Regions from separate parts of the Mus musculus genome. Here all the other regions are reported to be linked to region 1. Evidence: microRNA targets listed by miRTarBase, many of them from high-throughput screens and not tested one by one. Region 1 holds a microRNA gene; each other region holds the end of a gene's coding sequence. Distances are between the middles of the regions.

What was found. Region 1 holds the annotated microRNA mmu-miR-759 (GCAGAGUGCAAACAAUUUUGAC, at 2,439-2,460, opposite strand). A microRNA usually pairs through its seed, bases 2 to 8, with sites in the 3' UTR of a target mRNA and lowers its output. Matches are read on the target gene's strand: a 7mer-m8 pairs with bases 2 to 8, a 7mer-A1 pairs with bases 2 to 7 and ends in A, and an 8mer does both.
Region 2: miRTarBase lists Slc15a1 as a target of mmu-miR-759. Seed matches in the 3' UTR shown: 7mer-m8 at 6,227-6,233.
Region 3: the mRNA of Pde4c is a reported target of mmu-miR-759. Seed matches in the 3' UTR shown: 7mer-m8 at 1,425-1,431.
Region 4: miRTarBase lists Sema3e as a target of mmu-miR-759. Seed matches in the 3' UTR shown: 8mer at 2,538-2,545 and 7mer-m8 at 3,356-3,362.

Annotation. Positions count from the first base shown.
Region 1 is chr14:79,733,312-79,740,919 of GRCm38, reverse strand. Mir759 (microRNA 759) reads right to left here and starts at 2,489; the gene lies at 2,392-2,489.
Region 2 is chr14:121,454,054-121,461,661 of GRCm38, forward strand. It overlaps Slc15a1 (solute carrier family 15 (oligopeptide transporter), member 1), which reads right to left. Exons shown (of 23, transcript NM_053079.2): 23 at 5,568-6,720. The coding sequence ends at 6,529. It overlaps Gm33299 (a long non-coding RNA gene), which reads right to left and starts at 2,838. Exons shown (of 3, transcript XR_383790.2): 1 at 2,017-2,838; 2 at 1,613-1,717.
Region 3 is chr8:70,749,573-70,757,173 of GRCm38, forward strand. Pde4c (phosphodiesterase 4C, cAMP specific) reads left to right here. Exons shown (of 17, transcript NM_001310465.1): 17 at 269-1,614. The coding sequence ends at 535. It overlaps Rab3a (RAB3A, member RAS oncogene family), which reads left to right and starts at 5,131. Exons shown (of 5, transcript NM_009001.7): 1 at 5,131-5,291; 2 at 6,284-6,511; 3 at 6,875-6,993; 4 at 7,566-7,601. The coding sequence starts at 6,284.
Region 4 is chr5:14,251,256-14,258,863 of GRCm38, forward strand. It overlaps Sema3e (sema domain, immunoglobulin domain (Ig), short basic domain, secreted, (semaphorin) 3E), which reads left to right. Exons shown (of 17, transcript NM_011348.2): 17 at 1,083-5,434. The coding sequence ends at 1,535. Among named protein-coding and RNA genes, the nearest start is that of Sema3e, 230 kb to the left of the region's middle.

The sequences.
Region 1 (7,608 bases):
CTTTAATAGTCACTCTCAGAACCCTGGAGGTGGGCCTCCGGCAGTACCCAACAGGCTGTCCCATGATCTTTTCAAAGCTCCACACTAATGAGCTGCCAGCATCCACACAAACAGCCCTGTAAGAGGAGAACAGTATAAATGTGCAAAGCAAAAGAATGAGGTTTGAGGAGAGGTGCTAAGTTTTCCCAATGGCACAGTAAAGCCATAGGAGGGCCACAACCTCTGAGCCACCTCTACGTGACCCCATAATCTAAGATTACCCTCTTAAATGAACCCCTGCCACACAACCCACTCTTAAATCTAACATGCCAAGGGCAAGCACAGAAGCAGAAATGTCACCAATAGAGATAGACTTTAGCTAGACCACATACAACGTCCTTGTGCATATATCTAAGGTCACCCTATTTTTTCTGCATGGTTCATGAACAAAAGGGGTTTTGTGGTTTGGTTTGGTTTGGTTTGGTTTGGTTTGGTTTGGTTTTGGTTTTTATGTGCTTTGCTGTTTAACTCGCATGCATGTCTGTATGAAGGTGTCAGATCCCCTGTAACAGACAGTTGTTAGCTGCTTTAAGGGTACTGGAAATGGAACCTAGATTCTCTAGAGGAGCAGCCAGAGCACATAACCACTGAGCCATCTCTCCATCCCGTGAACAAAATTAAAAAAAAAAAAAAAAAAAAAAAAAACAGCCATCTCCAGAAAGCTGTCTTCCTAATGAACTGAGTGGCACACTATTCCACATGGATGTGGGGCCCAAGGAGTTATTTCTGTTTGCTGTTCTTAGTTTAACACAGGATGTAAATCTAATTGGAACGGTTGTGATTCACATCTGGAATTTTCCAATGAATAACCCATTGCCTAATTGGCCCCTTGAGTTAACAAACGGTTGCTATTTGGTGACTGGGTTGTTTTTTTTTAATCTGGAACAACATTTTGTTGCATTTAGTTCAACATTCTTTTTAAATTTAATTTAATTTAATTTTAATTATTATTGCTGTTATTTTTGCACACAGAACAATGCTAGATATCAAAGGAAGGAATAAGAGAGGGATGGGGAATAAAGATAAAGGAGGTAAAGACTGGGAATGTAGTTCAGTTGAGAAGAACATTTTGCCCCAACTTTGCTCCCTAGCACGTCATAAATTAGACCTGTAACTCCAGGACTCGAGATGTGGAAAAGGCAGCTCTGGGTCATCCTCACCTACATAGAGTTCTGGGTTAGCCTGAGATACATGAAGTCTTTAAAAAAAAATCCCAAGAGATAAATAATATACTGTTTTCTACATAATAATATAATTAATATTATTTATAATAACATAAATAACATACAGTTTTCTGTCTCCAGAAACATGAGTGCTGTTTGTATGAATAAGAAATGAAATTGGACATGGAGCCAAAAATATCAGAATTAGAAGGAAAAGACAATGAATGCTATAGCAGGGGTCAGCCAGAGGCAAGAGAATAATTACACAGATTTACGAAGGAGCATTTGAAGGAGTGCAGATCATAAAGACAGAATAAAGTGCGGAGGTGAAGGAGAGATGGGCATTCCAGGTGGGCGGAGCAGCACATTAAAGACAGATTCAAGCAGACAGGCTAAGGAGGATGAAGTTAGAAGTGTAGACTGGGGTCAGATGGTGAGCAGCTTTGAACGTGGCTCTGCAGGCATTGGGGAGCTACCAAAGGCTTTGTAGTGAGAGAATGGAGTGCTCCCCTGCCAGCCCCAAATACCTGAGATACTTCTAAAAGAGAGTCGAACTGCTTTCCTATTTAAATCACTGCATTTGGGAAATAGATCACTTAGCCCTAATTTAGCACAAGAATGCCCTCATTTTACAAAGGAACCGGAAGCTTAGAGAAGACTTAGCCAGCATGCTCTATCAATCCGTAGCAGAACCAAGACCAGTCAAGAGAATCATGCCTGAGCATTCCCCCTGCCCCAAAAGGTGTGATGATGTAGTTGATGATGGTGGTGGTAGTGATTTGAGGGCAGTGGAGGCAATTATTTTGGGCAAGATGCCTTGTCATTCGTATCCCTCCTCCTCTGTACATTTTCCATTTTTAATGGAACATGAAACAGATTATCCACGTAATCACTTTAACCAATTATCTGTAGTTGATGAACTTCCCTGCAACTTAATTAGCAAAGTTGTTTCCCAGAGTAACAGTAGCACAGCATCATCTAAAAGTCACTTCAGAAAGATGGAACAATTCATTAACAATTACTAATGTCTGCAGGGTTGAAGGATGTACAGTGTTCATTTGGAGAACGAGGAAACCACACGTAATGGCTTTCTCCGTCCTGGTTTGTCGCGCTTTGTGTCCACGAGATGACTCACGTTGCCAAAGCCCGAGTTTAATTAGCATGCTTAGTCTGTGCTGCTACCTCCATTGGAACAAATTAAATGTTTAAACAGCCAGTGCAAACATTTAGATCTGAGTCAAAATTGTTTGCACTCTGCCAGTTTAGGCATTTAATTTATTATAATCCTGCCCATAATACATGCCTTGAAAGTCATTTTTTTGTGTGTGTGCTGAAAAATACCGTTCATATTCCAGCTGATGATATTGAATCTGATACTATCAGAATCTGATGTGAGAACTAATTTGGACCACAGACGAGGGTGATAAATGAGATAATGAACGGATCCTCCTCTGTCCTGACTTCCCCAATTGACCAGGTGATAACAAAGACAGGTGCCACCCCAGGGCCTGCCTTCTGCCCTGAGCATCTCTGCTGCAGCTGAGACTGGCTGCAGCCTGAAGAAACAGGAACCTTGCAAGGCTTTGAGCCGTTTCGTCTTAAAGAGCCCTCATGGAACCTGACCTCTTCTTCCCCGCAAATATTTTTTTTTCAGAATATAGAAATGTGCTGGCTTTCCGCAATTCCCCCTAAAGTTAAAGTGCACTGGTAAGAAAAAACTATAACAAAAGATCCATTGAAATAACACCAGATACAGTGGGAGAGGTTTCAGGCTGGCGGCCTAAGAGAGTGAGGAAGACAGTCCAGAAAAATGACCCTCTGGGGTCCCAGGTGACCACAAGGTGGCAGTGAAGGTCTACTGCGCCTGCCTATTGGCACCCCCCCCCAACCTCCACCCCCAAACCTGACTTCTATAATACCATGACCCTGGGTAACCTACCTCCTCCTCCCCAACTCACTTGAAAACACAGACATCTACTAATCCTAAGTAAGAGACAGTGGTGTGTTTGTGTGTGTGTCTGTGTGTGTGTGTGTGTGTGTGTGTCTGTGTGTGTGTGTGTGTGTGTGTGTGTGTGTGTGTGTGTGTGTGTGTGTCAGTCCACAACTGAATGTCAGAGGACAGCTTTGTAGAAGTCAGTTCTCTCCTTCCACCTAAGTGGGTTGTGGAGACGTAACTCCAAGTCGAGAGATTTACATGGCAAGTATCTTTACCTACTGAGCCATTTGGACAGTCCACTTTCACATTTTAATAAAGATTCCTTCTTGTTTTGTCACAAATATCTTGGAAACTGGAAAATGGGTGGAGCTACCTCAACAGCTCCTGCTCAAAGAAAATGTGTTGAGACAAAGAGAAAGATGTTAAGGACTGTGGTTATGCAAACACACTAGATCTCCCCTTCCTTAGTGATAGAAAGCAGTGGGGCTGCTTCCTCCTGTCCCAGACATCTCGTGCAGTGATCTTTCCAGACACAGAAGAGTAGATCCAAGCCACCTAGTCGGGAAGAGAATGAGATTCCGTTAATCGGCAAATGTTTTGTCAAAATATACCAGGCAAGGTCACTGGAAACTGATTGTTCTGTTTTGGGGAACTAATCAAGGGTCCTTCAAGACTGAAAATCTGGCTCTCTCAGCCTCCATTCCCTGCTTGGAGACCATTCAAGGTCTTCCCCTGAAACATTCCAGGCTGTTGGTATCTGAAGCCCAGTCGGATTCCATAGTGAAGCTCTATCTACCCCCAAGCCTGGCTGGTGGGGGAAGGGAAGAAATCCTGCCAATGTGCTATTTCTCAAAGCAATCAACCGTGAGCAGTACGGCTTTATTTTTTTATTTTTTTTTTTTCCAGACAGTGCTGTAGTTGAGACCCAGGAGAGGGTTTTCTGTGAAAGCCCGGTCTAGGAGGTGAGTATTCAGAATCTTATTTAGCCGAATGCTAACCGAGAGGACGAACTAAGAAATAAAAGATAAAAATCCTTTCCCAGGTAACATCTGTACTGAGGATTTTTTTTTTTTAATGCTTGAGGTTTGTGATTAGACTGTTTCAAACCACACTTTAGAAAGTTAGTTACAAGTAGCATCATGACTGAGAATTCACGATGAGCCGGACAGTAAGTTGCATGCTTGTAGCGACTCTTACTACAACCTTAATAAGGAAAAAAACCTGGCATTCTCCCCTCTGTGTGTAGATGCCCAAGCTGAGGTTTAGAGGGAAAGCTGGGTAGGTAGACTAGCCGGACTGCTAAGTACAACAGTCAGCTGAGAGACCCACCTGATGGAGGAAGATGCCCGAAGTCACATGTAAACAGCCACACTCACAGCTCCTCAAGGCAGTTTGTCTTAACTCCAAATCTCTGTTTAGTTTTTTTAGCAACCATTGAAGATGAGCTTTTTCTTAGCTGGGATGTATGGAATTAAATGTGTTTAATACTAATAAAATAAGACCAACTTACTAAAGTTCTTTATGGTAGACAAGACACTAGCAATCAGCTCTGTTTCTGTGCAGTTAGCAGTTAGCAGAAGGTGGCTGCTGGTCCTAGGCTCTGCTTCAAATTCATCAAGGAGATTCCACGCTTTTGGAGGTAGGGAGCCTACCTGTTAGCCTCAGCCACCATTTATGAGCCTTCCCTTTGTCTTAATACTCAGGACACACAGAGAATGGTCTAGTGTTCATTTCTGATGCTCACCTTGAGCAGTCCCCAAGGAAATGCTTAATTCTGAGGCCGAACTTGGAGACTATTATACACACACACACACATTCCTGGCCAAGATGTGACTTCATAGTCATCTAATCAGAAGAGAGAGCATAACTAAAAATCAATGAACTCAAGAAACAACAACCGTGGCTAACTTGGTGAACCCTTACGAGAGTATAAAGAGGTTGGTCTATGACGGTTCATTTTACAGGTCAGAGGATAAGGGGAGCGTCTTAACAAATCTGCACAGCTAGACAGAACAGAGCTCTGATTGGGGTCTACTATGCTGGGTTTACTTGTCAAATCTCCACTCTCTCTCCCTCACTTTAGCTGGTAGGAGAAATTAGGGCAGGAACCTTGTTGTCTTCTGAAAAGCGGTTCAGTCAATTAACTTAGTTTTTCATTGCTGCTGTTTGAACGAGGATCTCACTATGTGACCCTAGCTGACTTAGAACCTCATGTATCCTACCCTGGCCTCACACTTGTAGCCATGCCCCTGCCTCTCTACGTGCTAGAATTATAAGCATGTACCACTACCATCTTAGACCTTAAATGAAGTTTAGATCTTAATGTGCCCCCAAGGTCCTCCTTGTTCATCACATTGGAACTATTGAGAGGTGGTAAAACTTTTAGGAGACAATCCACACAGTAGGCATTTGGTCATTGGAAGCAAGCTCTTGAAGGGGACTGTGAGACCTCTGTCCCTTTGTCTTCTTGGGCATGAGAAGAGCAGCTCCTTCCATAATATGCTGCCTTGCCCAAAGCAGTAGTAGTACCAATTGAACTGGAACCTTAAGAACTGTGAGTCAAAATAAGCTTGGTCACAGGCATTTTGTTACAGTGATGGAACACTGACTAACACTGTTGTAATAGGAGCATCCTCAGTGTATCAGTTACTTTTTGATTGCTGGACTAAAACACCGTGACCAAGGCAGTGTATAGAAGGAGAGATTTATTTGGGGCTTACAGTTTCAGAGGGATAGGAGTCCATCACCATCACGATAGATGCACAGCAGCAGACAGGCAGGCAGGCAGGCATGGCACTGGAACAGCAACAGCTGGTAACTCACATCTTGGTGCACAAGCAGGAGGCAGAAAGCACACCAGGAATGAATGGCCAGAACTCTTTTGAAACTTCAAGTCTACCTCCAGCAACATATCTCCTCAGACAAGGCCATACCTCCAAATCCTTCCCAAAGAGTTCCACCAACTGGGAACCGTGTTCAAACATATGCATCTGTAGGGGCCATTCTCATTCAAACCACCACACTAGACTAACCACTAAAATAAGAGTTACCATTGAGTCTGATGTGTATATGTAGAGTATTCATGCCTGTGTGTTCATGTGGGGGGCATATACGAATGGGTATATGTACACGTGTGCAACCAACCATGTGTGGGCAACCATGTGTGATACCTAGTGCCTTCATCAATAGCTCTCCACATTATTAATTGAGGAAGGGTCTTTCACTTGAACCCACAACTTAATGTTTCAGCTAGTCTAGCTAGCCAGCTTTCTCTGGGGATCTCCTGTCTCTGCCTCCTGTGTTCTGGGATCACAAGTAGAATACCTCATCTACCCTTCATTTACAAGAGTGCTAGAGATCTGAAAATTAGGGATAGGAAACCAGTGCATTGTAGAGCAGCTGATGAGCTGACAGCCACGGCTGTCCTGGTCACTTTGCTGGAATTCTGTACCCACTGGGAACTTCTTCCCGTCTTCACACTCTGCATTCTGCATCTGACCTCGGTTTTATCATTGGCATGTTCATATTACACATTTATATTTTGCCAGTTATCTCTTCTATTAACCTGGGCACTCTGCAAAATGACTTGTCATTAATAACACAAACTGGCTTTTTCCGTTCAGACAGCAAGGAAGTTATGGAATTGAAGGGAGGAAACTGCGTTATCTAATGCATTTCCAAAGAGATCTGTTCAGAGAGAGTGTTTGTTAGAAATGGCTAAGAGAATATCTCTGGCAAAATATAGATTAGAAATATTCTTACAGGATTTTCATGGATCAGTGTTGACCTGTGCACGTTGCCTCAGATTTTCTGACAAAATTTTAGCAGCCACCATATGAAATCTAATAACCATACTCACAAATGCCAACCCCAGTGCTCCTGTGTGAGGGTGTGTCTGTCCCCAGAGACTCTTCCCTGTGTTGTTTAGTCTGTGTGCTTGCCTTTTAAAAAGATAAGCACAGAAATTTTAAAAACGGGAGGAATCAGAAAGATTATTCTCAGCCTACTCCTGTGCCTTCAAGATGAAGAAATTAGGCCCAAGTCCAGGAGCATTCCCAAGGTCATACAGCACCGCATACGTGGGACTCAGACTGGTCACATGACCCTCCGCCCCTGAACCCCTCTCTCGGGCTGCCATGCTCTACAGAAGAACAGGAGAGGGGGACTCAGGAGACCATGTTATTGATGAATGTTCCAGAGGGACAATCAGGGCCCCAGAAATTATAAACACACACCCCACAAAAAGGAAAGCATCTACGTGCCATGGGAAGCAGCAAGGGAGGATGCAGGGTTATTAACTCCCTAGGATAAAAAGTCGCAGAGAACACCATCTGTTTGGGTTTGTTTGTCGTGGGTATTGTTGTTGCTGCTGCTGCTGCTGTTCTTTGTTTGATGTTTGTTTTTTGTCTTCTTTTTCAAACAACATTTTTTTTTAACAACTCGGGGGGGGGGGATGTTGATCCTCTCATT
Region 2 (7,608 bases), 42 Mb from region 1:
GATAAGAGATCACATACAAAGACCTGCTAGGTCTATGTGATTTGGCTGGAATACAGACATGCCTTTAATCCCAGAAGACAGAGGCAAGCAGATCTCTAAGTTCAAGACCAGCCTGTCCAGAGCAAGTTTCAGGTAAAGAAAAACTTAGGTCCAGGTCTTAGTCACATGCCTTTAATCCCAGCACTCAGAGGAGACAAAGGCATGCATATGTCTGAGTTCTAGTCAGCTACGTTCAGTCAGTTCATGGAACTCAGAGGCAGTTTTCCTGGGAGACTTTTACAGAGACTGGTTGTAGAGAGAGAACAAGCTAGACACAGGTGAAGACAGAAGGAGTCAGAGAGTGAGAAGGAGCCAGAAGCTTAGAACAGATTGCCAGAGTTAGGATGAGGCCAAGCAGAGCAATTCAGTCAGAAACTGAGAGGAGCCAGATTGAATCAGTCAGCTTGGAGAAGAGTTGGAGCCAGGACAGCTGAGTTGAACCAGCCAGCCAGAGTTCAGGAAGGACTAGAAAGAGTGAGTTTATTCAGAGGCTGAGAACATCTAGGCCTAGATTAGCTTGTACAGAGGCTAGAAGCTTCCAGGACTAACTAGGCTTCGGTTAGCAGACAGAAGTAGTAAGCCCCTGAGATAACAATCACATCAGGGGACTAAAAAATACTTTTACAAAGAATGAGCTCAACTGGCCACCTCACAACTGCTCTGAGGGGTCCCATGCTCTGTTTCACATGCGATGGCAATGTCTGCAGGTGCACAGAGCTGACAAGGGATGGTGGGTCAGATTTGCAGTGTTTACCTACAGAGGGTAACTGCCCAGCCTTGTCCTGTGTGTGTGTGTTTCCCATAGCCTACAGCGCCTCCACAGTCTCCCCCGTGCTTCAAATCCACAGACAGCTGATCCTCAATTGGTCGCACTTTGGTCAGAATTCTCTACCTTACTTGGGGTGCCTCCAGGACCTCCCTGGGGTAAGCTTCCCCGTGCTCTGTGTCATGGGGTCCCAGCTTTCCTCGGAGGTCGATGGCCTCCAAACGCTGATGCCCACTTGCCTTTCTTACCCAGGGCACCCACTTATTGCTTTGTTTCCTCTTTTTTGCGAGCCCTTTGAGGACAATGGACTCCCAGACACACGGACATTGCTCACTCTGTGACTGGCTCACACTGCACTTTCTCCTGGATGCTCGCTGGGATTCTTTGTGAATAATTATCGAATACCTGTGGGTTGTGGTTTTTAGAAGTCAAATGGGACCTACCATAAATTCTCTCTAGGTTTATAAACTGTAAAACAACCCAGGTAAAACTTTTGGTAGCTTACTGAAGTTTGAGCCACTGAATGTCAGTGGTCTTATCAAAGTTTTGGCCAGTCATATTGGAGCTAAACTTGAGGCTGAATAGCAGCGGCTGCTCAAATTGGGAGTGACTTCTGTCAGGTGTGGTAGCTCACACTTTTAACCTCAGAAAGCAGACTGGTGTATTTAGTGAAGTCCAGGCCAGCCAAGTCTATATAGTGAGACCCCCCCCCCGACTTAAACAAACAAACAAACACCCCCACGAAAACCAAACCAAAACAACAACAAAAACAAAGCAAAACAACAAAGGAAGTTACTTTCTGCTCACAGGTACAATTTGGGGAAGAGACTGTTGGCGCCCTCTGCTGGTCACTGTGTAGTATGTCAGCCCAGGTTCGGAGCCTTTCTGTGAGCCTGGAGACCAGAAGGCAACCTAAGTTTTGGGAACAAGGAGTAAGAACCCTTGGCTCAGGGCTACGGATGGGCTGGTTCCCCAGCACACAGGTCTGCTTTTGCCAGATTTAGCGACCCCTTTCTTGCTCTCAGGCTACTCAGCCCTAGGAAGTGTGGGACTGACTCTTTGTTTTGCAGGGAACCAGAAAGGCCGCCCACCACATTCAGCTACTGTTCCATTTGGGCCTTTAAGCAGAGCGACTGAGTCAAGAAGTCTCGTTAGACCAAAACAGACAATAAATCAAATGAAAACTCATAGCGCTCTGAAATTGCCAGTACCTGCAGGACGCCAGAGAGCCTCGTTCCTGCTTGCAGCAGTCAGTGGCCTTGCTGATAAGCTGGGACGCTAGAGGTCTAGGTCTCCCCGTTAGCAGCTGCCTTTCATCACTGCTGAGCCCGAACACCCAGGCTACTCTAGAAAGCCTGCTAAAGGTCCCAGTCCCAGGGTGCAGGTGAGCGGAAGTAGAAGTGAGAAGGAATCGCCGTTTTGTTTCTTACTGCCCGGAAGAGGGGAGTCGGGGCGGGTGTTCAGTGAACACGGGTTTCAGTTCTGCTGGGAAAGGTCTTGAGGAGACTCATGGAGGAGATGGTTGGATAATAGTGTTGGTGTGACTTGTGCCAGGATTCTGTGCCCTTAAAATGTTTAGTTTTATTTCTTGTGTATTTTACCACAATTTAAAAACTAAATAAACCAGGCTTCCTGCTGTCCTGTAGTCTGTCCTGGGGTCTCACAGTTCTCCGGCCCTGTCACTGACTGCTCTCCCATGGCCTCACTGGCCTCTGTCCCAGCTGCTGCCCTCTGAGGTCAGAGTGTCTCTCCATGACCTCTCTTGGCAATGGCGGTGTCTCCAATCAGGCTCCAGGGGAGGAAGTTAAAGTGTCTTCTGGTAGCACTGCCTCACGGGGGCCCAGGCCTCCCTCTGAGATGGTAAAGGTAGCTCTGTTTCCTTGGTTTGCCCTTTGAGTCAGGGTTCCAGTCTCTCATCCCCACACGAGACAGCTGTAGGTGTCCTTCTCAGGGTGCTGGAAACACTGGTCTAGCAGGCTCCCAGTAGCCACACTGCCTTATTCCTTTCACATGGCCTCAGCCGTTGGATTGGCTGTGTCACGTGACAGGAGATGCTATAATCTCGCGGTATCAGGCACGTTGTGGTAATCAGTAGATGCAGCATCCTGGGGAAAGACTCACCACAAAGGTTTTTTTTTTTTTAGATTTATTTATTTATTTTTGTGTTTTGCCCCTGCATGTGTGTATGTGCACCAATTTTCAGAGGCCAGAAGGGGGCGTCAGATTCCTTGGAACTGGAGTTTAGATGCTTGTGATCTACCTGTGGGTTCTGGGAATCAAACCTGGGTCCTTGCAAGAACAGCAAATGATCTGAATGGCAAAGCCTCTCTCCCGTCCTCTTTCTCAGTTTTCTTATGTCAGAAGTGAAGGTCTTGAAGGCTGACTCACCATTATCATAAAGATTATGATTGGTGCCCTCCTTACAATAGATTGAGTATGGTGTTGAGAGGTGGCAGATGTGAGGCTAGCATTCTCTGCTCCATGGAGAGCCAGGCTGTGGGGACGGCGTTGGGTAGGCCACTTGCATTTTCTTTGTCTTCTGTGAGTGGAATAATCCTAACCCACACTATAGGACGGCTGTTGGACTGCACCAGAAGACTGCTAAGCCTGCTGTCTGCACATGCCCTGTGTTCAGTCTATGTTCAGCCTTTGTTGTAACAAAAAGGTAAGAGTATATAATTGTTTTGCAAAATGCATACTGCCTATGGTTAAAATAGCCAGCAGCAGTCAAACTTGAACATTTACTCAAGCATTTTTAAAAGTGGGAAATGGAAGTCTGGGAATTTTCTGGCACGTTGGGAGCTCAGAGACACAATGGAACCCCACTGTGTCCGGGAGAGGTATCCACGAAACTCTTACAGGGAGAGGTGTGAAAGGGAGGCAGGGCTGGGGTGAAGGCTGGACAGGGTCTTCCCTTTGACCTGGGAATGAAGAGTGTGCTGTGCTCCACGGTGAGGAGTCCAGGGTTGATTGGGTCAGAGTTTGTGGAGAGAAATGAAAAGCATGTGGAGAAAAGAGCTCGTGGATCTGACTTAAGGGGCTCTGAGGACCGCCCTACAGGGCTGGAAAGTTGCTGAGCTAAGTGTAATAATCTCATTAGTTCTCCCTCAGATTTTGGGTCTGTGCGGTTTTTATGTGCAACGATGGGCTGGGTGCACAAAGCCGCTTCCAGGTCAAGCACAGACTGTTCTCATCCAGAGCCAGCGTCTATCTTCAGAGCCGTGTGAAGTCTAATAACTCCTGTTTGTATGGGAACACCAGACACGACTATCGTGGGCCTGACATCTGGGATTATTTAATGATAGCTCCATTCCACGATGAAAACCAATCAGTAGAGTGCTTGTCACAACACACAAAGCCCTGAGTTCAATTCCCAGAACCAAAGAAGTCTGGCCATAGTGGCACATATCCATAATCCAGAGGATCAGATGATCAAGAGCTTCAGCTATATAGTAAACTTAAAGCCAGCCTGGGATACATGAGACCCTCTCTCCAAATAAACTGGGCGAGAGAGATGGCTCAGCAGGTACAAGGAGTGTCGGCTCGTTTAGAGGATCCGAATTCGGTTCCTAGTACCTATGTTAGTCGGTGGGTTATAATTGTCTGTAACTCCAGCTCTGGGGCATCTGACATCCTCACTTGGCCTCTGAGGGTACTCATACAAACATGGCAAACACACACACAAAACAAAAAGTGACTAGGCAGAGCCAGGATAACCCCACAGTAGAGGAGATTAAGGGCACCACAAGAATGGCCCACAGACTCAACTAAGCAGGGCTCATAGGGGCTCAAAGAGACTGAAGTGACCATCACAGAGCCTGCATGGGTCAGTGCTATGTCCTCTGCATATACCTTATGGTTGTGTAGCTTGGTGTCCTTGTGGGACTCTGAACAGTGGGAGTGGGGGTGTCTCTGACTCTTTTGCCTGTACTTGGGACCCTTTTTCTTCTATTGGGCTGTCTTGTCCTTGATACAAGGGTGTGTGCCTAGTGTTATTGTAACTTGTTAGGCCATGTTCAGCGGATATCCCTGGGAAGCCTGCTTGCTGCTCTCTCTCTCTCTCTCTCTCTCTAAGAAAAAAGGTGGATCTGGGGGAAAGGGGAGGGGAGGGGAGGAACTGGAGGAGTGGAGGGAGGGAGGGAGGGGAAACTGTGGTCAGGATGTAATATTTGAGAGAAGAATGAGAGAAAAAAAAGTTTAAAATAAACAAGTAATCTGAGCACAGTGCACACAGCTGTAAAGGGAGGCAGAGGCCGGTGGGTGGTTGTGAGGTGGAGGCCAGCCTGATCTACACAGTGAACTCAGACAGTTAGGGCTATAGGCTGAGATCCCGTCTTGAAACAAAACAAGCAACAAAACAAAACAAAACAAAAAAGTGCCAAATGTCTGTCGGATGAATTAGTTCATAGTACTTTAGAAGGATAAAGTAGACAAATAGTCATCAATCCAAGAAAACCACAATGGGATGTAAAAGTATGTGCACACAGAAAGATGTCAGTACTAAAAGATACCCACCCCGCCCCCAGAAAAAACAGGACCAAGAAGAAATAAACTGATGTTTTGTGTCCCTGACTTTACCCTTTGTGGTTATTGCTTTTGTTAATGCTTTGCTGGTTTCTCAAATATCTTAATGAGCATGTATCAATAATATAACCAATGAGCATGTATCAATAATGTAACCAATGAGCATGTTTCAGTAATATAACCAGACAGCATAGGAAAGTTTCTTACCATACCCAAAGACACACAAACACATATTCTTAAGAACTAGAATTTATTTCAGACCAGTGAAACTTCACAACTCATGACTAGTCTTTTGAATTACACATAATTTAAAAAGAGGTAAGGCAAAGGAGACTAGAAAAACAAACAAACAAACAAACAAACAAACAAACAAAAAAACCCCAAGGTAAAGCAATTAGCTTGAATCAGTTGATACTCATTACACACTATTAAAAAAGCCCTCTGTAAATTCAATATTGTTTTCATAAAACTGTTAGAAAAAACAATACTATTGCCTTTTCAAAATTAAGTTAATCTGAGCTAAGTTCATTTCTGTGGCAGAAATGTAAGATACAGCCCAGTTTAAAAGAAAAACAAAAACAAACCAGAAAGTGCATATTATAAATAATATTTTAGCTGGGCAGTTGTGGTGCATGCCTGAAATCCCAGTACTTAGGAGGAAGAGGCAGGCAGATCTCTGTGAGTTCAAGGCCAGCCTGGTCTATAGAGCAAGTTCCAGGGCAGTCAGGCTTATACAGAGAATCCCTGTCTTAAAAAAAAAAAATTATAGCTGGGCATGGTGGTGCATGCCTCTAAATCCCAGCACTTGGGAGGCAGAGGCAGAGGCAGGGGCAGGGGCAGGGGCAGGGGCAGGGGCAGGGGCAGGTGGATTTCTGAGTTTGAGGCCAGTCTGGTCTACAGAGTGAGTTCCAGGACAACCAGGGCTACACAGAGAAACCCTGTCTCGAAACAAACAAACAAGCAAAAAAAATAAAAAATAAAAAAAATTTAAAAAATTAAAAAAAAAATTTTTTTAAATAAAAAAGGCTCCCCTAGAGTTTCAGGTTCACAGCTGTTGGTTAGAAAACTGCTTTGTTATTATTCTGGCTCACACTTCTGAGGTCTTCTCCATCAGGGCTCTGTGGTGGAGTGTCCTGTCCCTTGGACAGAGGTCAGGGCTCATGTTGTACTTGGATCTTTCTCCACTTGCCTTCTGCCCTTCACATATTTGTCTGTGAGACTGGTTCCAATGAAGAATACGGGTTTTCCTTTCCTATGCCCTTTTTCTTCTCATCCTCATCAAACTGTGCTTCAATCTCTGCTGGGTTGATGTAGGTGTAGAATCGAGCCATGATGGCGAATATCACGCAGACAACCAGAAGCAATGAGGCAAACAGAATGTACTCAGCCCACTGAAGGAATCAGAGGTGGAGCAAGAAAACAAACAAACACAGGTCATGGTTAACATAGTTAACATGATGTCTCATGCATATCTTCTTGCTACTTCTAGGTGGAAGATACTTTGAAGTGGAACTAGGAGATGTAGGCCCCCAACAGAGACATTGGCTAGATTTTCTCAAATGCTCAAGAAGCAGCTAACACTTTCCTGCTAACATGGGATGTGGAAACAAGACTTTTGGGAGGATGAGAGGAACTTTCTGAAATTCAGGCTGGTGCCAGAAAGATGGGGAGCCAGCAAGGAACAAGTGTTGGCCTCGCAAGGCAAAGAGTGTGCTGAACACAGGCAGGAAAGATGGGTGTGCTGAACACGGGTGGGAGGGATTGCTCCACAGGTCTGAGCATCTTCCAGAAGTCCTTGGTTGTAGTCCTGACACACCTACAAACCCTACAACTCCAGCTCCGGGGACCCAATGCTTTTCTGGCTTCCATGGGCACCTGCAGGTGCATGGTGCATATATATACAGCAGCCCCTCCTATCTATCTGTCTGTCTGTCTATCTATCTATCTATCTATCTATCTATCTATCTATCTATCTGTCTGTCTATCTGTCTATCTATCTATAACTTATATGTGTACATGCATACATACACACACACACACACAGTTATATGCACATATTTTTTTGACAATGTCTGAGCTCAAGAGCATGAAGCCCCATGGCCATTCCTGAAACATCACTGAAACAGAAAACAGTGTTACTGCTCTAGTGACAGGAAGCCACCAGGCAGACCTTGTGTGCAACAAGGCTGAACAAAAGCTCTGAGCATCACACAAGCCTGTGCTTTATTTTATTTTAAATGGAAAGTTATAAAAATCTCAAGAACATCTTTAACTTATTG
Region 3 (7,601 bases), not on the chromosome of region 1:
CAGCCAGCTAGGGCAGATGTTTTGATTTGTTGTTTTGAAGACATCTCATTTTGTCACCCTGGCTGGCCTAGAACTCACTGGCTTGAGATCACCCTGCCTCAGTCTCCTCCTGTTGTGCCAGGATGGCTTTTTTCAAGAGGATTTTGAAGGATGAATAGGAGTTGGCAAATGAGAATTCCAGGCTGAGAACACCAGGTGGCCAACTGTGAGATGGGACTAATTCTAGGTTTCACTGGGTCTCACTTGCCCCTTCTGTGATCACCCTAAGGTGGGATTCATTGACTACATCGCTCAGCCATTGTGGGAGACATGGGCTGACCTAGTGCACCCCGATGCTCAGGAGCTTCTGGACACCTTGGAAGACAACAGAGAGTGGTATCAGAGTAGGATTCCCTGCAGCCCTCCACACACCATGGGCTCGGACAGGTTCAAGTTTGAGCTGACCCTGGAGGAAGCAGAGGAAGAGGAGGAAGAGGAGGATGAAGGGCAGTGCACAGCACTGAACAGGGAGTCCTCAGAGTTACCCAGCACTTAACTCCTGTCCTCTAAGGCCAGCCCAGAGCCCAGGGTCTGCTTTGTCCAACAAGAGTTGGGCTAGCTTAGTGTGGACCGTGGAGTCCTGGTCAGGCCATGGGCACCTATGGGCACTGATGACGTTCCACCACTCAAAGAGGACAGCCAAGGTTTACACAGAGCCAAGCCTGAGGGAGGCTGGGACCAGCTCTGCCCACAGACTGGAATGGCACCAGCCCTGGGAAGCGCCGACTCCTGCATCTCAGAAGACAGACTTAGACTCAGCTGCAGTCTGCACGTCAGCTTCAGCACATGCAGTCGGACTCTGTGTTATGGTTTAGTTGGTTTCTTTTTTGGCACTAAAGATGGAACCAATGTTGCCTTCACCAGTCCAGCTGCAAGCCTTTACTGAGTCCCTCGGGGGAATCCCTTTCGTAAAATGCGGGCGGGGAACACTTCCCACTGAGGTCTGGTGTCTCCTGACACCATTGGCTGCACAAGACTCTTCTTAGATATCAGGAGGCCGGTGACCCTCCTAGAAGACCACTGCAGGCCTCAGTCCTCCCATCAATGAGGATCCCCGTCTCCGACAAGATTGGGCTTCTCAAACCAGTGTGCTGGTGCACCTCTCTTCACCATAGGCATCCCCCAGACTTGGCTGTGTGTGTGTGGAGACAGCTGGTCCAGGCTGGGCAGCCTGACTAGAAATAAAAAGAGCTGGAAGTGGGCTGGAAAGATGGCTCAGTGGTTAGGAGCACTGACTGTTCTTCCAGAGGTCCTGAGTTCAAATCCCAGCAACCACGTGGTGGCTCACAATCATCTGTAATGGGATCTGTTTTTTGTTTTGTTTTGTTTTGTTTGTTTGTTTTCGATACAGGGTTTCTCTGTGTAGCCCTGGCTGTCCTGGAACTCACTCTGCAGACCAGGCTGGCCTCGAACTCAGAAATCCACCTGCCTCTGCCTCCCAAGTGCTGGGATTAAAGACATGTGCCACCACCACTGTGTGGCCTGAAATGGGATCTGATGCCCTCTTCTTTTGTGTCTGAAGAAAGCAATGGTTACTCACATATAATAAATAAATAAATCTTTAAAAAAAAAAAAGTAGCTGGAGTGTGGCTAAGGGGTGGAGCTTCTGCCTAGAATTGCCCAATGAGGGGCTTGGGGTGTGGCTCTGGTAACAGAGCTTTAGCTTTTGGGAAGTCCTGAGTTCCATTTCTATCACTGCAAAAATAGAATAAATAGAAGAGCACTGCAGGCCTCAGTCTTCCCGTCAATGAGGATCCCTGTCTCTGACAAGATTGGGCTTCTCAAACCAGAGTGCCGGCACACCTCTCTTCACCATAGGCGTTCCCTAGTCAGGGTTCTCTAGAGTCACAGAATTTATGGGTATTCTCTATATAGTAAAGGAATTTATTGATGACTTAGAGTCTGCAGTTCAACTCCCAACAGTGGTCAGCAGCAGCTGTGAATGGAAGTCCAAGGATCTAGCAGTTGCTCAGTCCTACACGGCAAGCAGGTGAAGGAGAGAAAGCCTTCCTTCTTCCAATGTCCTTATGTAGGTCTCCAGCAGAAGGTGTAGCCCAGATTAAAGGTGTGTGCCACCACACCTTTAATCACAGATGACCTTGAACTCAGAGATTTCCCTGTTTTTGTTTTTTTTTTAAAGATTTATTTATTTATTATATGTAAGTACACTGCAGCTGTCTTCAGATGCACCAGAAGAGGGTGTCAGATCTCATTACGGATGGTTGTGAGCCACCATGTGGTTGTTGGGATTTGAACTCAGGACCTTCGGAAGAGCAGCGGTACTCTTAACCACTGAGCCATCTCTCCAGCCCATGAGATCTCCCTGTCTTAATCTTCTGGAAGCCATAGCCACTATGTCTTAAGATCTCCATACCAAGATCCAGATCAGAAACTTCTATCTCCAAGCCTCCAGATTAGGGTCACTGGTGAGCCTTCCAATTCTGGATTGTAGTTCATTCCAGATATAGTCAAGTTGACAACCAGGAATAGCCGCGACACCTACTCATTCTCTTGTGTGGAAACTGAGTCATAACTAGTCCCTCAGAGCTTATATACTAAGAGTGGGCACTGGTGCCCCCTGGCGGTATGACTGATTCCCTGTTTGTTTTCCAAACAGTTCTTTGGCCGTTTTGAGACAAGGTCTCATGGTCTCAAGTTCTAATGTCAGACTTGTTTGCCGCAGAGGATGACACTAACGTTATTTTCTTGCCTCCACCATTCGAGTGCTTGGCTGGGGTAACAGGCATGTGCCATGGGGGGGGGGGGGTCCCTCTCTTTCCCTTTTCCTTTTTCCCTCTGAGCCTGTAACTCTGCACCTGACCAAGGCCTCCAAGGAGCCAGAGTGGCAGGCGACTTCCTCTGTAAATATTATGACTCGGGCTATTCATCCCCAGGAGGCACAAAAGGCCATCTGGGGTCACACACTGGAACATTTCCTTCTTCCTTCCAGATGTCTTAAGAGGCGACCCTTAGAGATTTCTTGTTAAACAAAGTCATGTGTGTTCACTGTGGGAGAATTTGGAAGTCACACAAACCTGATGACGTGAGTTCCATTCCTAGGACTTGTGCTGGAAGGAAAGAACTGACTTCCTAGGTTGTCCTGTGACACTCCCCTCTTTCCAACACAAATAAATGAATATAACTTAGAAAGATTTGAGGAACAGCTTCCCTCTGTCCCTTCTTCTGCCTGTGCTCTTGTTTGCCCAGGCCTTTAACACACTTGCTTCATTCTTCCAGACAGCTGTGCTGTCCTCTCTGGGGAGCCTCAAACTCAGAAATTCCCAAGTGCTGTGTAATTAAAGGTTTCTGTTACCATGCCAGCAGTTTCCCCGCACACGTTTATAGTATGAAACAGGGTCTCACTTTGTGATCCAGGATGATAAAGAACTCAACAACCCTCCTGCCTCAGCTTTCCAAGTGTTCCGATGAAGCCTTGCCACCTACTGAGCTACCAGCACAGTTCTCCTGGAGCCCTTGCTTGGTGGTGGAAGCAAATGGGTTCCTCCCCTAACCTTATCCCTTCGGAATAAATCCAAATCAGGCTCCAGTGTCCCAGGCTCCTCCTGCACCCTTTCTGTCCTCAAACCCGGTCCCGGTCCCCACAGTAGCCTCCGCGTGGGCCCGGAGCTCGCTAAGTAACAAACTGATGGTCACTTTGTGTCTCTGCATGAAGTGCAGGGGAAGCAGGAAATAAGCTTCCTCCAGCGGCCCCGGATTGGGCGGGGCTCCAGGCTCCTCGCGGGGGTGGACGAGCATCCAGGCGACAAGTTATTCTGGTCCATTGGCGCCTCCGCAGCTGGCGGGGAGGTCTATAAACAGGGCCAGGACACGTTCCCAGTTCTGCTTCCTGTGGGAATGGAAGCGATGGGGACCCTGCCCGGCCGCACGGAGAGGAAGAATAGGATAGACCCCAGATTCCCACCTTGACAGGCAGATTTGCAGGAATGAGTCGTGTGTATCATAGCGGCTTGGAAGTCTGCATTTCTGCGCCCACCTTCCTGAGACACAGGGTTACCCGGGTCCCAGTGTCCATATCGTAAAGGGCGTTGGGCAGCTACTCTTGAATCTTCTCTGCTTCCTTGGTCTTTCATTACAATTTTGGAAGACTTATGGGTCAGGATACTTCTGAGCCCTAAGTGCGCAAGGAAGCAAGGGGTTCTCTGGGGACTCATCAGACCCTTTTCTCTTTGCACAGACCGGATTTTCTCCTTTATTTCTTTGAGGCAGGGTTTTATGTGGATCAAGCTGACTTTAAGACACTATGTAACTGAGGATCACCTTGGACTTCTGCTTCTCCCCTCCTTCCCTTCTCCTCCCAGTGCAGAGAACAGGAGCCTGGATCAACCCAGGTCTTTGTGATGCAGGTTCCCCACCAAACTGAGAATTATCCTCAGCCCATCAAAAAACAGTTCTTTCTTTCTTTCTTTTTTTAAAAATTATTTATTTATTTGCTTGTTTATTTTGTTTTTTGAGACAAAGTTTCTCTTCATAGTCCTGCTGTCCTGGAACTCACGTTGTAGACCAGGCTGGCCTCGAACTCACAGAGATCTGCCTCCATCTCCCTTCTGAGTGCTGGGACTAAAAATTCTGTGTGGTCTTTAATGAGTTTTTTGAGCCCTAAAATGTAATCAAGATGTATGCCTGCCAATCCAACACTTGTGAGGTGCAGGCGGGAGGATCAAGAGTTCAAGATCAGCCTCTGCTACTTGGCAAGTTCGAGACCAGCTTGTTACTTGAGACCATTTCTCAAAACAAAACCTAAACTCCTGAGTGCTTCACGTCTCAAAAGCAAGGACTTCTAACCACAAGTTTCCAACCAGAGCTAGGTCCTGGCCTCAGCCTCTCCGCCCTTCAAACACCTAGCAGTCACCATTGGGCCTCTAAAGACGTAGGAATCGCTGATTTGATATTCGGTCCGTCGCTCGAGAGCATCAGCCAATGGAAACTTCATGCCTCCCTAGAGCCCCGTCTTCCAGTGGCTTACCAGGCCCTGCCCCTCTTCTGCCGGCGCAGGCCAGTGTGGTCCCGCGGCTGTCGATGCAGTCCCTCCCCTAACGTCACAGCTTCGTTTGCATAGAAAGCCCCGCCCCTGGCTTTGCAGGACGTCAGCTAGGACTGCAGGGGCCTGAGCCTCCTCCGCTGCCGCCTGCAGCCCCCGCCGCCGCCTGCATCCCCCGCATCCTCTTCTGGGGCCCGGTCGCCAGCGCAGTCGCCACGGTCGCCGTCGCCAGCGTTGTCTCAGCTTAGAGAGGGTAAGGGTGAGCGCAACCCAGGTCCACACACTGAGGAGCCCGCGTTTCACTGACAGCTGGGGGATCAAGGGGAGCGCAACTCGGGTGTAGTGGCTATGGGTCTCGCATTTGGCATTCTTGGTCCCGCATCCCGCACCCCTCGCCCTTAACCTGGCACCTGGGGCCCGGGCTCTGCGACAGAGGGGGAGGGGAAAGCCAGGCCTTGCGGGAGGCTTGTGCGTGCTCGTGCTCGTGGGGTGAACACGCGTGTGCGCGCCCGCTGGGCATGGAGAGGCTCGAGTGACCGCAGGACGCGCAGCGTGCACACTTGTGATACGTTGTGCGTGCATGGTCCGCGTGCGCGGTGCGCGTGGATCTTAGTTCAAGTATGTGCTCACACGCGTGTGGAGCCATGCGCGTGTGTGGTGTGTCCTCCCGGATGGCCAGGTACAGTCGTGCATTGGTGCAGGGAGCTGTGCTCACACATGGGCTTGCACACACCATACATGTCTGCTTGTTTCGCCTGTTAGCACCACTCTTGCATGCAGGGCAGGTGTTTGGGTCTGCCTGCCCTAGATGCTTCATTGTGCTTGTGTGTGTGTGTGTGTGTGTATGCGTGCGCGCTCTTGTGCTCGCGATTTTGTGTGTGTGAGCCTACGTTCATCCTGTCTTCGTCACGTGATGTGGCTATCTCAGGGCCCCAGTTCTTGCAGGAGAAAAATAAGGATGAGCGAGAACTGGGGATCCTCCTGTATTCATGTTCCGGTGTGGGTCTCTGTGAGAGACTGATGGGAAGGCAGAGGAGGCTCAGTCTTCCCTCAGGGTACAGGGGAATCTGAGGTTCACAGCCTGCTTAAAACCTTGGTGCTGTCAAGGTCACAGCTCTGCCTTATGTTGGTTGGGGGGGTTGAGCATGTGACATTGGGGGGTATCCTCACCTACCCCTGTGCCGTGCCCACCCTGTGCGTGGTCCTGATGCTCCCCTCAGGCCCTCTGTGCCACGCCTCCCGCAGATGGCTTCCGCCACAGACTCTCGCTATGGGCAGAAGGAGTCCTCAGACCAGAACTTCGACTATATGTTCAAGATCCTGATCATTGGGAACAGCAGCGTGGGCAAAACCTCGTTCCTCTTCCGCTACGCAGATGACTCCTTCACTCCAGCCTTTGTCAGCACCGTTGGCATAGACTTCAAGGTCAAAACCATCTACCGCAACGACAAGAGGATCAAGCTGCAGATCTGGGTGTGTAGGGCTGGAGGGGAGATGTCTTCCTGCCAACCCCCACAAAAGGAAGCTGAGGCTAGCCATCGGCTGGCGCTGGGATTTAAGGCCTGCATCTCCATCCCAGTATGAGCTTCCCGTTTTCCTAAGTCCCGAGCATCCCCACTCATCTTCTAGCATAGTGTGGCACAGGGCATTCAGGCAGCACCCAGTACATGTTTGTTGAGTGACTAAGTGGCCTTGCAGTGACCCATTTGGGTCACTGTCTGCTTTTCCTGACCCACTGTCCCCGGGCCTCAAAGTGGTTGCTGGACAACCTTGGAGCACGTTTTTCTCTCGGGGGCTGCTGCGAGGTCCCTTCTGACCTATCCCTCTTTTCCCCAGGACACAGCAGGGCAAGAGCGGTACCGCACCATCACCACAGCCTATTACCGAGGCGCCATGGGCTTCATCCTAATGTATGACATCACCAATGAGGAGTCATTTAATGCAGTGCAGGACTGGTGAGCAGCCCACCTACTCAGAAAACACAAGGCTGGGATTGGAGGTGACTTAGCTAAGCTTAGCTAAGCTTAGTTGGTAGGGTGCCTGCTTGGCCAGGACAAAGCCTTGGGTTCGTCCCCAGCATGGCCAAAAGACAACCAAGAGTAGGCCTCTGGTGGGACAAGCCATGTGGCTGTTCCCAAGGCTTGAGGTTGTGGAAGCACACAAGGTAACCAGTGAGTAGACAAGGAACCTCCCACTGATCTCTACCCAGGTAGCCCAGGCAGGAGAACCACGTTAGCTCACTTGTCTGAGGTCAAGTGATTCTCTGGCCAAGCGCTTACCTCAAATGTATGAGAACCTGGATTCCAGCCACAGCACCAAAAATTAACTCCCCCAGGTCTTGACATTTGGTGTAGTGGACACCGGCCCATCTTCCCAGCTTTGGGAAGATGGAGAGGTCTGAGTGAGATAGGCTGGACTCAGTTACCAAGGGGCAGTGGTCTCTCCTGCAAGGGCTAGACACAGGCAGAGACTCGGGGATGGGGCCAGGTCCTCCGGCTTCCTCTTCAGCCTCTGGCTGTCTCTGCAGGTCCACTCAGATCAAAACTTACTCGTGGGACAATGC
Region 4 (7,608 bases), not on the chromosome of region 1:
ATGGCTCAGTGGGTAAAGGTGTTTGTTGCCAGGGCTGAGTTTGCTCCTGGGACCCACATAGTGGAAGGAGAGAATCCACTCTTACAAGTTGACCTCTCACTGTTACATGCATACCATGGCACATGTGCTGCTTGTGCACACACACAACAATACATACATACATACATACATACATACATACATACATACATACATACATAAGTTTGAAGAGGAAACAAGGTAGTAGTACCAGGAATGAGAGCAGATAGAGTTAGGGAAGGGAATATTTGGTTTTTTTTGTTTTTTGTTTTTTTTTTTAAGTATTCTGGCTGTCCCCGTCACATGCTCTCAAAAGTATAATGTCTGCTTGAACTATGACACATCTTAAAGACTTTATTAAATATTTAGAAGAATAGAGGAATGCATGCATTTGTATTCTTGTAGCCTTAATTCATATATGGTCTTTCGATCTTTGAAATAAGACATTCTAATATTGCTGAAAATTTTCACAAATAAGAGATTTAAACGTCTGCATACTCTTAAAATTATTCTTTAGTATGATGCTTTTTTTCATTGAAATTACTGTCTCCGTAAGATAATATGGGACGATAACTATAATTTGTGTGTGTGTGTGTCTGTTTGTAACTTTCTTCTTATTGCACTGTATGTCATATAATAATTTCATATCCCAGCATTTAATTCAAATGTTTCCAATACTTTTTCTGCACTGTACTACTCAGGGATGCTGTTTTGGCATACTTGACTGGGACAGACATATCATCGATATAATGAAAGCATCTATGCTTCTTTGTGCTGTGTGGATTATTTTTCTCCCCTTTAATGAGATTCATTAGGGAGAAAGGTCTCTCTTGCTCCTGCTAGTAACTTCTTAATGTATTGGTGGGAAATGACCTCACTATCATCGATAAATGTAGTTTCCAATTTAAATAATTACTTGGCACGTTTGTGGACCACCATAATTGTATGGTGTGATCACGAAAGAGAAAGAGTATTTAACGGGAAGAAACCCAGGTTGGTATTTTCTGGACTATACGATACTCATTGCCATTTACTTATTTGTTCCTTTGATTTTGGTTTTTCAGGTGAAGACGGATGACAGAGTTGTCAAGATGGACTTGGGCTTGCTCTTCCTCAGAGTACGCAAGTCAGATGCAGGGACCTATTTTTGCCAGACAGTAGAACACAATTTTGTCCATACTGTGCGTAAAATCACCTTGGAGGTGGTCGAAGAGCATAAAGTGGAGGGCATGTTTCATAAGGACCATGAAGAGGAAAGACATCACAAGATGCCCTGCCCTCCCTTAAGCGGTATGTCTCAGGGGACAAAACCGTGGTACAAGGAATTCTTGCAGCTGATTGGCTACAGCAACTTCCAGAGAGTGGAAGAATACTGCGAAAAGGTGTGGTGTACAGATAAGAAGAGGAAAAAGCTTAAAATGTCTCCCTCCAAGTGGAAGTATGCCAACCCCCAGGAAAAGAGGCTTCGCTCTAAAGCTGAGCACTTCCGCCTGCCCAGGCACACGCTGCTCTCCTGAGGGCGCCCTCTGCCGGCGGCTGAGGAACCTAGGATGGAAACATTTTTTTAAAGGGGGGGAAAAAAAAAAGACTGAAAGCATGCAGTCTCTTTCCATTACTTCAAAGAACTTTCTGTAGTACTGAGAGGCTGGGAAGGTGTTTTAAGTTATTCTGCATATTCATCTGACTGTACAAACATCTCTCTCACAGTACTAGTACTTAAACGAGTGTATTGCTTTAAAAGGCTTCACGTATTTATCAACATATGATCGGGCTGTAATTTTGAGCTTGCTTTTCAGGGAAATTATTTTGCCATTGGGATATGTATTATAATTATAATATTAAAGAAAAAGTTATAGGTTTTCATAATCAAGAAAAATGTAAAACTCTTTCTGGAGTTTTTTCTTTTTTCTTTTCCTCTTTGCAGCCATAAGGTAAAATATACAGAATATCAGATATTGTAGAATTATCGTGTGAGCTTTCTGGTCAGTTGTTGATTTTTTTTTTTAAGCCATAAGTTGTATGTAGCTGTGTTGTGGTTGCTATAAACTGTACAAGAAATCTGCAACCCATCCATTCTGAGGCTTGTTCTCTTCATGAAACACTCACTAAACTATATTAAGAATATTTCTGTTTTATAAACAAGACATATCTTTTAAATTTCACTTCAGTGTGGAAGGATGGAAGATAGCCTCTCAGAAAGATATTTTTAAATAGTTTCAAACCATGAAAGTAGAATTCTGTTAAAAAGGTCTGTGCTTCCCTCTTGTGGTACAAGAAGGCATTGCATCTCTCAATGCTGTTTCCATAATTTTCCTGCAATGACTTGAAAACAAAATGTAGTAGATACATCTAGTTCACTATTCAGAAGACTCAATTAAAAAATAATTTTATATAATAATTTAATATGGAAATAGCATGCTTCTGGTTAATTCATTACTTCACAACACAACGAAGATGTTAACTGCATTTGAGCTTTGAAATAGAAGAAAGTACCTTTCCAGTCCTACCCTGAGACAAGACACTCTGAAAGTGTGCTTTACCCGCAAAGAAATTATCAAAGCATTCTTTCTCAGAAATGAAATCTTCCTATTTTATATTTACTTCTTGGATTCGTTTTACTACTGACATCTTTAGAGAATCATTATCTTTGTCTTATGAATATAATCAAAATTTATATTTTTCAGAATGTTTATTTCTTGAGATTTTTCTTCTCTGTATTTTAAAGAGTTAGCAGCTTCCGTTCTAAAATATGATTTTTATGAGGCTTTTCAGTTCGGTAAGAGTAACGCAAGTGGATTGTAATAAGAACAATTATGAATACGTATTCAGACTTAAATTTAACTATTATGTCAGCTATCTCAGTATGCTATATAATTAAGAATATAAAGTGTTGAGAACTTCTAATGGATTTCTTTTTCTGTCTAAAATTAGTGACTACATAAATATTCCACAATTTTGAAATTTTAAAATTTTGGAAATTTTAAAGTCCAGAATTTCTAAAACATATAACTAGTATGAATAAAGAGAATGTTGACATCCTCTGAAAGTCCACACGTTATTGACTGTAGAATCCACTGTGTGCCATTGTTCTCCAGCAATAGTAGTTGGCAAAAGGGAGTATTCAAAACTTTTAAAATACTGTAGTTTATGAACACAAAGGGGGGAGGGAAAATTGGGGAATTAAAACCAAAACCACATCACTAGTTCCTAAGGAAAGGATATGTCTGCAATATTACAAGAGAGCAGAAAAATCTATGGAGAAGTTTTTTTTGTTGTTGTTTTGTTTTTGTTTTTTTGAGACAGGGTTTCTCTGTATAGTCCTAGCTGTCCTGGAATTCACTCTGTAGACCAGGCTGGCCTCGAACTCAGAAATTCACCTGCCTCTGCCTCCCAAGTGTTGGGACTAAAGGTGTGTGCCACCACGCCTGGCAGGAGAGGTTTTCAAATGGCCCTTCCACTTAGCAAATTACAGGTAAGGGGAGAGTTTTATCTTAACAAATAACATAAAATAAAAACAAATTAAAGTTAAAAAAAAAAAGGAAATCAGACATCTATGAGTACATTTTAACCTTAACTCTCTGACAGGCAGCTAAAGAGGAAATGATCTTGTTGTGAGCTAAGTAGAATTCAAAGAATATTTTTTTTACAACTTGAACAGTAAATGCAAATAAAGACCATTGAATTAAAAATCAGACATTAATCAAAAAGTAACCTAAAATATACTGATTTAAATAAACATGATAAAATTTCAAGGGCTTGGATACAACTCTAGGGAGAGCAGTAAATTATATATAAATATGTATTTATATATACATATTGTCATGTATTATACATCCTCCTGTACACCCATTTCTGGTAAGAAAACTGGGAACAGACATAGACAGGCAGCCAGAGAGACAGACAGACTGGGAGTGAGAGAGAAAGAGAGAGAGAGGGAGAGAGAGAGAGCGAGCACAGGTTCCCAGGGTATAACTGATGTACCACTGTCTCTGTCCCTCTTTCCTCTGACCATTCTTGCATGTAGATCTCCAAGAAGTATAAGGTGCATCACTAAGCCCTTTCAGAGTTCATGCCAACAGAACACAAATCTACAGAAACAAAAGTGTTTTGAAAATCTGAACCCTGCTACATAAGCATCACCAGTCTTTTGTTGGGCCTGTGGGGTTAAAATTCAAGACTCTCCTTTGAAAAGAATTCTTCTGAAGAAAGCCATGATGATTCCACCATAAACTCAGGTATCTGTAGGACTCTATAAAAGTAGGAGCTCACCTTGAGATGTCCAGACATGACCTTGGCAAACAAAATATATCCCCAAAATACATAGCACACCCAAGAACCTAGCCTCCCATTATTGTTCCAAAGAGGCCCTTCTGTATAACTGGTTTCCTGCTTCTCCAGGTCTCATGGTATCATCTAAAACAAGTAGCCTCTCCCTCAACATAACACAAACTGCCTCGCTACAGAACCAGGCACAGGAAGAACACCACACTTAGGAAGGTATCAAGACTTTGGAAATCTCTCTCCTTTTGTATTAAATGTGAATATTGCAGGGAGAAGTTTCCAACATTGATGAACAGGAAGGAAAACAGAAATAAGTCCTAATAAATCCAGAGCAGGGGATGAAAAGTCTACACTTGCTTTGTGAATTTCAATGCACATAATATATGGTAACTTTATGTTAATTGTCTTCCTTTCCACAATTGACTACATCAATAGGACATTTTACGGAGTATGTAACAATTGTTGTGGGGTGTAGGGTTTGGTAAATCTTCATAGTAATTATGAATAATTGTAAAATTTGTACAATATGACAAATCATTCTGGCTGTTAGTCTGAAGCATGAGAGAAACAGCAGTTTTTTCCTTAAAGATGACATATTTAGCCTCAAGCATACGGAGTACCTAATGTTATATAGATACTTTATATCCCAGGTAAACGTCACACTCTTGTGATCAAAACCAGTCACTGGTTTTGATCAAAACATACTGCTTGTTTTCCAGGCCAATAATTGCTGATTTGGGTCAGATACAATTGCTATATTCCTTATGAATGCTCTTTTGCTTGTTGTAGCATTGTTTTAATTGCTGTTTGGTTATCTTACTGTCTTGGAAGAACAACTTTATATAGCCACCTTCATTATACATAATATGGTTTAGCTCTGACTAGATACTGGAGTGTCTTTGTCTCTATGTTGTCTCTTTTACAGTCTGTAAGCATGTGCCATATTGCTTCTTTCCACTGATGATAAGCTCTGAGACTCATTCTTACCTGGTAATGGGCTACAAAGGACCAGTGACTGTGTCTCCTTGACTATCATGTAGAGTCTCCACCCAATACTACACAAAGTCTGTATTATTGAATGGAATTTCTATTTCATTTGACTTAGATGAAAAACAAATAAATATTCTCCAAAGCACTAAGTGCTATCAGAGAAGTACTTTCTACCTTCTGTATTCTATCCTCCCTGCCTTGCTCCATTCTTCCATTCTTCCTTTCCTCTTCCCTCTCTTCCTGCCTACCTGCTTCCATCCCTTCTTCCCTTCTTTCCTTCTTCCTTTTCTCCCTTGATCCCTACAATCCTCCTGTCATCTCTTAATTTTCCTTCCCTCCCTCCTTCCTATTTTCCCAGTTGAATGTATTTCATACATCCAGCCTGATGTGAGCTCTGTTGCCCAGCTGAAGGACTTTCTTTAACTTAGAGAAGAATTCAATGTTCTTTCTGAGAAATTGTTGTCAATTTTTCCAAGAAGGAAAAAATATCATTAATCTCTCTTTATAGCAGAGGAGTTTATTTAGTCCATGCTAGTTTTCTAGAAACATCAGGGGGGAAAATCCTTTCAGCATTCTATTCTCCAGACAGAAGTTGGAAAATGAGCATGCCCCCAAATAGCAACTATTTGTGAGTTGGGTGGTGGGAGATTATTACAAGCCTCAAGTTCTCTTTTAATGTATCCAAACTTTTGTCTTCCCTACTATATTTTTAGAGTAGGGCGAGATTGTTTAAATAAAATTTCAAATTAAAAGAATCTCTATTTGAGAGGTTTGTTTTGTAGTCAAATTTTATGCTGTTGGTATGTACAATGTTTAAAATAATTTGGTGCCAAATTCAGGAATAGTGGGAAAATCATTGTGGCCCTGCCATGCTGTCAGTGCGTAACTTGAGTAAGCAAACCTACAGCTATCATCTCTGAGAAAATAGGATAGAGTTTATCCTGGAACCCGATATGAGTGACCACTGACTTGGAACAGGGATTTATGTTACTACAAGTACCTTGTTCTAATATAGTCACAGATTCACAATGTTTATATAGTAAGAAAACAACAGAAAGCAATGGATCAAGCCTTCTTCAAATATATTGGTGGAAAGAATTGGCTGGCAAACTACAGACAAGTGAGGACACATGAGCTGTGCATTTCAGATATGGTCTGATGGCATTCTTATTAACTTTTAGCTGAGTGCAGAGTAGCAGTCTGTTAATATACTCTAAAAGAATTTACCTGATAGCCACAAATATGTGAGTCAGATATCCAGGCAATGAGTAGCTAGCTATCAAAGGGGTAAAGATACACCAAAGTAATTTGGTTTCAACCTGCAACATTTTCATTCTCCACCATCATGGACATTTCAGCCAGTGAATCAATCATGTAGAATCTTCAATGTAGGTCTGGTTACTTGTGGAGTTTAGGTTTAAGGTCTATACTTGAAACTTGCATCTTTCTATGTGTCATTCAAGGCCTACTATGTAGGCCTCTTTTCTGTGTAGCACTAGATGAGACCATCTAAACTTCTCAATGTGTATAATGTCTTTAGTAAAAAGGAAAGGCTTTGTTAATTAAGCAAGAGGTTTTGTTTAAATGAATGTTTTGGCTAGTTTTGCTTCTGATATATGGGGTCTAATCCAGAGCCTTAGACAAGCTTGGCAATGACTCATCTATCTTCTGGATTCAAAATACTAATAATAATAATGTCAGATGTTGAATGAGGCTCAGACTGGAAACTCCCCATAATCTCTTACTGCACATAAAGCAAATTCAATACCTTATATAGCTTGGTGTCCTTGGAGAACTCCCAAAGGTGGGAATAGGTGAGTGTCTGACTCTTTCACATACTCTTGGGACCCTTTTCCTCCTACTGGGTTGCTTGTGTATTCGTGATATGAGCATTTGAACCTAGTCTAATTGTAACTTATTAGGACATGTTTGGTGGATATCCCTGGGAGCATTTTTTTTTTCTTTTTGAGAGAAACAGAGAAAGAGTGACATGAATCTAGGGAAAAGGGCAGGTAGATTGGGGACAGGGACTGGTAGGACTGAAGGGAGGGGAAATAGCAATAAGGATCACACACACACACCACAGACAGATGATACGTCTTCAAAGATTTTCACTGGCTCCCTTCTAACCTTCAGCAAAGCAGGTAGGCAGGACATCCATTTTCTAGGTAGCACAATATGAAACCAGGCATGTTTTTGTCATGACAGGGAAATGAGACCCAATATCCAGTAGAAACTACAAGGTCTGGTTTTTAGACCAGAATGCACAGACAGACTCTTTAGACCTACACTGGAATTAGAAGAGCTGTGAACAAAGAA